2 linked regions of the Rattus norvegicus genome follow. Each later gene encodes a partner of the first gene's protein in a complex. Links are inferred from orthologs where the notes say so. Each region holds a gene or a part of one and is shown in the gene's direction. Other genes may lie near its edges.

The links.
Region 2: Gtf2f1 (region 1) and Polr2g share a complex: the UniProt entries of both Homo sapiens proteins name them as parts of the TBP-based Pol II pre-initiation complex. The link is inferred for Rattus norvegicus from reciprocal best matches to the Homo sapiens genes GTF2F1 and POLR2G.

What each region holds. Positions count from the first base shown.
Region 1 is NC_086027.1:1,937,267-1,941,715, reverse strand, and holds the start of Gtf2f1 (general transcription factor IIF subunit 1), read left to right. Parts: upstream 1-1,518; 5' UTR 1,519-1,644; coding exon 1,645-1,656; intron 1,657-1,742; coding exon 1,743-1,789; intron 1,790-3,045; coding exon 3,046-3,118; intron 3,119-4,449. UniProt on the Homo sapiens protein: TFIIF is a general transcription initiation factor that binds to RNA polymerase II and helps to recruit it to the initiation complex in collaboration with TFIIB. It promotes transcription elongation.
Region 2 is NC_086019.1:215,118,602-215,122,887, reverse strand, and holds the start of Polr2g (DNA-directed RNA polymerase II subunit RPB7), read left to right. Parts: upstream 1-1,231; 5' UTR 1,232-1,305; coding exon 1,306-1,317; intron 1,318-1,429; exon of another isoform or gene 1,430-1,432; coding exon 1,433-1,542; exon of another isoform or gene 1,543-2,147; coding exon 2,148-2,307; exon of another isoform or gene 2,308-3,313; coding exon 3,314-3,364; exon of another isoform or gene 3,365-3,472; coding exon 3,473-3,538; exon of another isoform or gene 3,539-3,621; coding exon 3,622-3,693; exon of another isoform or gene 3,694-4,077; coding exon 4,078-4,111; coding exon of another isoform or gene 4,112-4,188; exon of another isoform or gene 4,189-4,286. UniProt on the Homo sapiens protein: Core component of RNA polymerase II (Pol II), a DNA-dependent RNA polymerase which synthesizes mRNA precursors and many functional non-coding RNAs using the four ribonucleoside triphosphates as substrates.

The sequences.
Region 1 (4,449 bases):
ATGTCCCGGATCTGCCGGCCCCTCTGGGTGCTTCTCTGAGCCTCCTCCCGCAGCAGCTGGCCCAGCTCCACGTGGTAGAAGCCGTATTTCATAGCCATGTTTCTGCACTGGGTCCCTTTCCCGCAGCCAGGCCCCCCCACCACAAAGATGATCAGAGGATACCTCAGGATGTCTATGGTGTTCAGGGAAGAAAGTGGGTACTAGTACGAGTCTATAAGAGATCCTGGCCTCACACTGAAGGCTCCCTCTGTTGAGCAGGCCACCGGCCTTTTGCACAGACCTCCATGAAGTGCCTTACTGACTCCATCAACCCATTTTACAGATAATGAAAGAGGAAGGCCCTCAAACCCACCCAATAGCACCCTGCTCCACCCACCATGCGGTCCTTTCTATCCTGCCTGCTTGTGCCTCTAGTCACACAACCCTTTCCTCTCCTTCACAGTCATGGTTCTTTGTTCTTTGTCCTTTTTGACTCCCTTTAGTCTTCCTAACCAGCCTTTGTAACTCACGGTGCGCTCCCCGAAAGTGAAGAAATGAATGTCTCCGCTACTAGATACATCAGTGGAGTCAGTTGTTTATGGTTCTGTAAAGACTAACATGGAATCACCATATCTCATCCTTCTCAGGTTCAATGTCTGTACCACCCTTGACCCTCTGAGGGTCCCAACTCCTATGAGTCCCACAGGCTCCCTTTTTCTGATTCCTCCCCCGAGAATTGTACTTTCCATCTCTGACACTGGCTCCTCTACTCAAGTTATATTCCAAAGGCATCAACCAATGGTGGGGTGGGAGCATGTGCAGATGCGTTCCTGTCGTGCAAGGGTTGGTGTGCACAATCAGGTGGTGGGATACCTGCCCACCGCCCCCTTCCGTTGCCTCATGTAGACCAACTACCCCATGTTGTTACCCTTCTCCTGGGGCCGTAAAGCTCTGCCCAGCTGGGGCAGCGTGGACTCGCACAGACCCATCCCGCCCGCAATGCTGGGGTACGCCGGGGCCGGGTCTCTGCCCTGCAACGACTCCTCGGCTCCGCTTTACGTCACAAGGGACTCATTTTGCAAGATCCTCGGGATCCCCTGACTCCAGGACACAAAAGAAAACGGAATCTCAGACCCACCCCAGAAGAGCCCCGGAGGCCATTCCACAGAGCGAGCCTCGGTTGCCATGGCAACGCGGCCTCCGCTCCCGCTTCTTGGACATTTACGCTTGCGCGAGAGTACCGAGGACGCGAACACCAGAAGACTCCATTCCCACCCTACCCAAGATGCTCCACGTTGCCCGCGTCTTGACGTCACGAAGTGACGTATTCTCACGTGATTATAAGTTATCCGTGATGTAAAAGAGAACACTGGGAGAAAGCAGCTTTATTTCGCTCAGAAGCTGGAGAAGACACAGACTAGGTACAGTGGTAGCTCTCGTCTCCGTGTGGCAGTTCTACTTCCGGGTCAGGCTGTGGCGCATGCGCAGCGTTCTAAGTCTCTTTTTTTTCTCGTCTTCCAGCATTCTAGGAGACTTAAGGGTTTGGAAATCCAAAGCACAGGATCACACTAACGTGACAACCAGGAAAGGTGCTTTCCCTGGGTCCGAGGGACACAACCAAGACCATCCAGGTCTGGCCGACCCGGAGCAGCTTGAGCAACGGCCATGGCGGCTCTAGTAAGTATGAATGAGGTGGGGATGGAGGTGTCGCAAAACAGACCCCGCGCCCTCTTCTCGCCTTACAGACTCCTGTTCTTTTGCAGGGCTCCAGCAGCCAGAATGTCACTGAGTACGTCGTCCGAGTCCCCAAGTAAGTCCCCGTCCATCCACACTTTAGAACCTCGGCCCTGTGTTCCCCTGCCACGCTGGCCCTACTGCCGCGTCCAAGACATAGTAATATGTCTTGGTAAATCTTGGTAGTTAATGTTAGGGTCTGTGACTCTGTCCTGTTTCAGACTGGTCAGGCCAGACATGGTGGCTGCCTTTAATCTCAGCACTTGGGAGGCAGAAACAAGAGAATTTCTTTGAGTTCGCGGTCAGCCAGGTCTATAGAGGGAGTTCCAGACCAGCCAGGGCTACATATCGTGAGAGCCTGTCTCAAAATAAAACAAAATTCCAAACTGGTCACAAGTAGTACACATCCTGCTTTCTGTGCCAAGTGCCATGGCCCTCAACTTCTAATTTTATCTTAGGTGGGCCTGTGGTAGGCAAGCACTGTACCACTGATCTACACCTAGTCCCCTTTTATTTTTTTGTTTATTTTGAAGACACAGTTTTACTGTGTAGTCTAGCCGGTTTGACCAGGCTGACTTTGAAACCCACTAAGACCCATTCACCTCCAGCCCTTGCCTGCCTGCCTTCCTCTCTACATAAAGGTTCTCTACACCTTTGGTTCATTTTTTTCTTTTTTCTTTTTTTTTTTTAAAGATTTATTTATTTATTATATATAAGTACACTGTAGCTGTTCAGACACACCAGAAGAGGGCATCAGATCTCATTACAGATGGTTGTGAGCTACCATGTGGTTGCTGGGATTTGAACTCAGGACCTCTGGAAGAGCAGTCAGTGCTCTTAACCACTGAGCCATCTCTCCAGCCCCCGGTTCATTTTTTTCTTAAGGATTTAGTGTTATCTCTGTGTATGCCTGTGTGTATATAGATGTGTGTTGTGAGAGTGCCTGGTGCCTATGGATCTTTATATGGGGTTGGATGAGATGGAGTCTTTAAAAAAAACAAAACAAAAACAAAATTAAAAAATCCCTGAGAAACTGGAGCAGTGGTTTTCAACCTGTGGGTCGCCTAAGTCCATCAGAAAACACAGATATTTACATTATGAATCATGATAGTAGCAAGCTTACAGTTATGAACTAACAAAAATAATTTTATGGTTGGGTCACTACAGCATGAGGGGGTCATAGGGGTATTAGGGGTCATAGCTTTAGGAAGGTTGAGGACCATTGTTCCCGAGTCTTTTTTGAGTTCCCAGAATTACCTACAACCAAGGGTGTAAATCGTAGATTTGTTGAATGGCTAATCGATGGATTGAATAGTTTCTTGCCCATTCCAGGAACACAGCCAAAAGATACAACATAATGGCTTTTAATGCAGCTGATAAAGTCAACTTTGCTACCTGGAACCAGGTAAGTGTATGCCTCTGGGTGTCTGGGGCAGAGACCTAACCCTGGGCTGGTGACTTTACTGAAACAGTAGTGCCCACACCTGTAGCCCCAGCAGACCTGTGATTCCAGCTATTTGGTGGCTGAGGTAGAAAGACTGAGTGTTTTAGACCAGCCTATACTAAATAAATCCTATCTCAAAGAGAAGAAGCTAGCCTGAGGGTACGGTTCAATTGATGGAGCACTCATCTGGCATATAGGAGGCCAGGGGGACCACCAGCGCCATGTATAATGGGCATGTTGGCTGGCACACGCCTGTTATCCAGCATGGGAAAGGGGATAGGATCTCAAATTGAAGACCATCCTTGGCTACATAGTGAGCTTGAGTGAAGCCCCGGATATATATATATATATATAGACCATGTCTATATGTATACTATAAAGTAAAGTAACGGGTAACAAGATGACAAGCAGGCCATGTCATGTACAAAAACAAATGCATTTTATAAGTTTGGAGTGTTTGTTTTTAAGATAAAGCCAGCAGGCCATAGTGACACATACCTTTAATGCCAGTTCTTGGCAGCAGAGTCAGTGGATCTCTGACTTTGAGGCCAGCCTGGTCTGCACAGTGGGCTTCAGAGCAGACTGCCTATACAGTGAGACCCTGTCTCGAAAGGATAAAACCATACCACAAGATGGGTACAGCCAGGGATACTAGCATCCCAGCACCAGGGAGGTGGAAGCAGGAGGATCATAAGTTTGAACAGCCTGAGCTACATAACAGGATTCTCTAGATAATACTAAGAGGAAAAAAGTGTTAAAGGCCAAAGTTTTAAACTACCCAGTATTCTGGGTGTCATGTTAAAATGTTACTATTTCCATATTGTCTGGGTTGCTCCTGAGCCTTCCTCGGGTGGTCTCCGTGATCTCATGGACCAGTCTGTTTTACTGTTGTAAGTCCCACATTCCTCATGACCAGAGTCGTGTGTGTGTGCATATGTGCATGTGGGCATGCTGTGCATGTCAAGGCTAGAGTGGACATCAGCTGTCTTCCATAGTCACTCTACACCTTATTATTAAAATGACATCTGTTGGGCCACAGGTGTGTGAGGGATGCAGAGTTGAGATCAGAGAAGAGTTTGCAGGAGTCGGTTCTCACTTTATGCTGTGTGGGTCCTAGGGCTTGAACTCAAGCCTCAGTCCTTTTGCAGGCTATACTTTATGCAGACTATATAGCAAGTACTATCTTTCCCAGCCTTTTTACATACAGTTTTGAGTCAGGGTATCTAACTGGACCTGGGGCTTGCTGACCTGTGAGTCCCAGGGACCCTGCTGTCTACACCGTTCTCCTGGGG
Region 2 (4,286 bases), on another chromosome or scaffold:
ACCGAACCCAGGGCCTTGCACTTGCTAGGCAAGCGCTCTACCGCTGAGCTAAATCCCCAACCCCGACACCTTCATTTTTAATGTATCCCTGGCTGTTCTGGAACTCATGCTGTAGACCAGGTTGGCCTTGAACTTGAAGACCCACCTGCCTTTTGTTCCTGAATATTGGGATTTAAGGCGTGTGCCACACTTCCAAGTGACTTCTTCTTAATTAGGTGTACTCAATGATGTCTGTTATCTGTATGTGAGTACAAGCCCACAAGTGCTGGTACCTCCTGAGGCAATGAGAAAGTTTCAGATCCCCTTCGAGCTGGAGTTGTGAGACCTCGGGTGCAGTGTTAGTAATTGAACTCAGGTCCTCTTCGAGAGCTTTATTTTTATTTTATGTGTAAAAACCTTTATTTTTATTTTATATGTATGAATGTTCTGGCTGTATCTATGCCTGTTCACCACAAGGGAGAAGTGTCCATGGAGGCCCCAGATGGCACTGGATCCCCTAGGATTGAAATATAGCTAGTTGAGTTACCATGTTTGTTCTAGGAATCAAACCTGGATCCTTCGGAGGAGCAACCATTGATTTTAACTGTTGAGCAATCTCCCCAACTACCTCATCTTTATTTTTATTTTACAAGCATCGGTGTTCTGCCTGCATTATGTCTGTGTACCACTAGCATGCAGTGCTGAATGAAGCCAGAAGAGGGTGTCAGTTCTCTCTGAACTGTAGTTACAGATAAGATTGTGAGCTATCCTGTGGGGGCTGGCAAGTGCTCTTAAGGACTGAGCTAATTCTTCAGCCCCTAAAATAAAATTTAAAAAACAATTTTTTTTTCTCTTTTTCGGAGCTGGGGACCGAACCCAGGGCCTTGCGGTTGCTAGGCAAGCGCTCTACCTCTGAGCCAAATCCCCAACCCCAAAAACAAATTTTTTTATAGGGTTTGTATACACAGTCTTGGTTATCCTGGAACTCACTTTGTAGATGTGGCTTAGCCTTGAATTTAGAGATCTGTCTGCCACGGCTGGGTTTAAAGGCATGTGGCGACAAGCCAGACCTCTTAACCTTTTTTTTTTTTTTTTTTTTTTTTTTTTAAGGTTTTTCGAGACCGGGTTTTTCTGTGTAATCCTGGCTGTGCTGATGAGCGCTGATGGGAAGGCCTGAGGGGCGGGGCTTCACGTTTCCCCGCCCATGGCGTTAAGACTCAAATCTGCGGAAGCGACTGCGGAGACTTGGTGGGACTTCTGCTAGTGCTTCCGGCGAGGTCCCTTCCTGGGGAGTTCTGGCCTCTGCGGTCCAAGCTTCTGCAGAAGATGTTTTATCATGTGAGCTGGACGCGGGGTAGCGGTGAGGGCAGGGACAGGAGGAGCCTGGAGGGCCGACGGGTCGCCTCCTGTTCTCAGTGTGGCTGGCGGAGTCTTCATCTTCCTTTCTCTGCAGATTTCCCTGGAGCACGAGATCCTACTGCACCCACGCTACTTTGGTCCCAACTTGCTCAACACGGTGAAGCAGAAGCTGTTCACCGAGGTGGAGGGGACCTGCACTGGGAAGTAAGTGTCTGATTCACAGTGTCGTCTGCTGAATGCAGGCACAATAACGCTACTCTGTAACCTCTACTTCACTCCTTCAGTCAGGGCTTGTTACTTACTCTGAGGAACTCTTTCACCACTCCAGGCATCCGAAGCAGCCAGTTTTTGCCTATTTTGGGCCTTCTAAAAGGTTGCTAAACCAAATTTTCTTCGCTTATGCGAGATCAGACCGTTATTATGCAAATGTTTTGGGTTTCGAGATGGCCTCACTATGTGGACCAAGCTGGCCTCTAATTCAGAGAACTGCCTGCCACTGAGTGCTGGGATTAAAGGTTTTCGTCACAATTTTCTGTCTGATTTGTGGTTTTCGAAAGACCTGTCTCACCACTGACCTGGCAAGTCCTGGTACTGAGAGAATAGGTGTATGTCAGCATATCTGTGCCTTCTTGGGCATTTACTGTACAATTGTGAGAGCACCATTTAATATTTCAGGTGCTAATCTGAGTTCTGTCTCTTCTTGGTCATCGAGCTGTTCGAGCAGAGGTTCCATCACACGCAGACTATTGCTGGTGGCTTTTTAGAGGCTCTTCACATACAGTAGCTGTCTTTTTTCATCTTTCCTGCAGATATGGCTTTGTGATTGCTGTCACTACCATCGACAATATTGGTGCTGGTGTGATCCAGCCGGGCCGAGGTTTTGTTCTTTATCCAGTGAAATACAAAGCTATTGTTTTCCGGCCCTTTAAAGGGGAAGTGGTGGATGCTGTGGTCACTCAGGTCAACAAGGTAAGAGTATTATTTATAGAAAGGTTATGGGGTTGGGGATTTGGCTCAGTGGTAGAGCGCTTGCCTAGGAAGTGCAAGGTCCTGGGTTCGGTCCTCAGCTCCGAAAAAAAAGAAGAAAAAAAAAAAAAAAAAAAAGAAAGGTTACGGGGTATTTCCTAAGGTGAGAGTTCAATTCCCAGTCCACTTATTAGTTGCCTTAAGCCTTTTGTGGTTGTCAAGATTTATTTTATTTTATCTTAGTTTTGGGTTTTCTTTTCTTTTTTTTTTTTTTTTTTTTAAGGTTTGTTTGTTTATTTTTATTTATATGAGTACACTGTTGTCTTCAGACACATCAGAAGAGGGCATCAGATCCCATTACAGATGATTATGAGCCACTATGTGATTGCTGAGAATTGAACTCATGATCATTGGAAGAGCAATCAGTGCTCTTAACCGCTGAGCCATCTCTCTAGCCCCTGATTTATTTATTATACACACTCCTCTGTAGCTCTCTTCAGACACACCAGAAGAGGGCATCAGATCTCATTACAGATGGTTGTGAGCCACCATGTGGTTGCTGGGAATTGAACTCAGGACCCATGGAAGAGCAGTCAGTGCTCTTAACCACTGAGCTATCTCTCTAGCCTCAGAAATTAAGTTTCTTAAAGGCTAAGGGGTCTATAGCTCAGTGGTTTAGAGCACCTACTGGTTCTATAAGACCTGGGTTTGACTCCCAGCACCCAGCCAATGGCTCACAATAATCTGTAACTCCTAATTCTGCAGGGTCCCAATACCCTCTCCTGGCTTCCATGGGCACTGCAGGTACATGGTGCACAGGCACATGTGAGGTCAGAATATTCTTACACATAAAAATAATGAAGAACAAAAATGTAAAGAAATGAAAGATTACACAGAGAGAAATTAAAACAAATGCTACAATTTAAACTGTTAAGAAACATGAATAATGTGCCTAGAAATCAGGTAAAGATGCTTCAGAGCGTTTGAAGCACGGTCATTTTCCTTCTAGGTTGGACTTTTCACAGAAATTGGGCCCATGTCCTGCTTCATCTCTCGACACGTGAGTCTGGGCGTGTGGGGTGAGGCCGAGGAGGAGAAACCAGCCCCTGACTCTCATCCTTTGATGCAGCTATTTGAAATGCTAACCTTTGTGTCAATTTCCTTCTAGTCCATCCCTTCAGAGATGGAGTTTGATCCAAATTCGAACCCCCCTTGTTACAAGACCATGGATGAGGTGAGCGAATGAGGAGGAGTTGGTGAGAGGGATGAGGACCAGGCCTGAGTCTGCTTGATGACCCTGCTCTCTCCTTTCCACAGGACATTGTAATTCAGCAGGACGATGAGATACGCTTGAAGATTGTAGGGACACGTGTAGACAAGAATGACATTGTGAGTCTCTTGCTTGACTGGCCTGCCTTAGCCTCCTGGGTAGTAGGATTATAAATAATCCAAAGTCATCATTCACAGCTGACAGCTGTGGGTTTCTCGTTTCTTTTGTAGAACATATTTATGTGGATGTGTGGGCATACACACTCGCCACAGTGTGACATTTAGACCGCCTTCAGGTCATCGCATGCTGCTGTGGATTTTGGGGGTGGAGGTCAGGTCATCAGGGTTGGAGCAAGCTCTTTCCCCATCTGCGCTGTTGACCTCTTGCCATCCACAGTTGTTGGGGGCTCTGTGCTCTGTGTCCATGAGCAGGGAATAGATGACAGAAGGCTCGGAATGGGGTGGGGCCCCACCTCACCATCCTTTCTCCCTTTCCTCTCGCAGTTTGCTATTGGCTCTCTGATGGATGACTACTTGGGTGAGTGCCTGACATGGGTGCTGGGACCATTCCCTGGAGAAAGGATGTGCTGGAGAGGGGATGGCTGTAGGATTTAAATGCCAGTCAGAGATATAAGTTCTCATTCTGTTCCCTTGGAAATCCAAGATACCTTGTCTTTGGTGGTGGGAAATCTTTGGTTTTTGGCTGCCTGGGA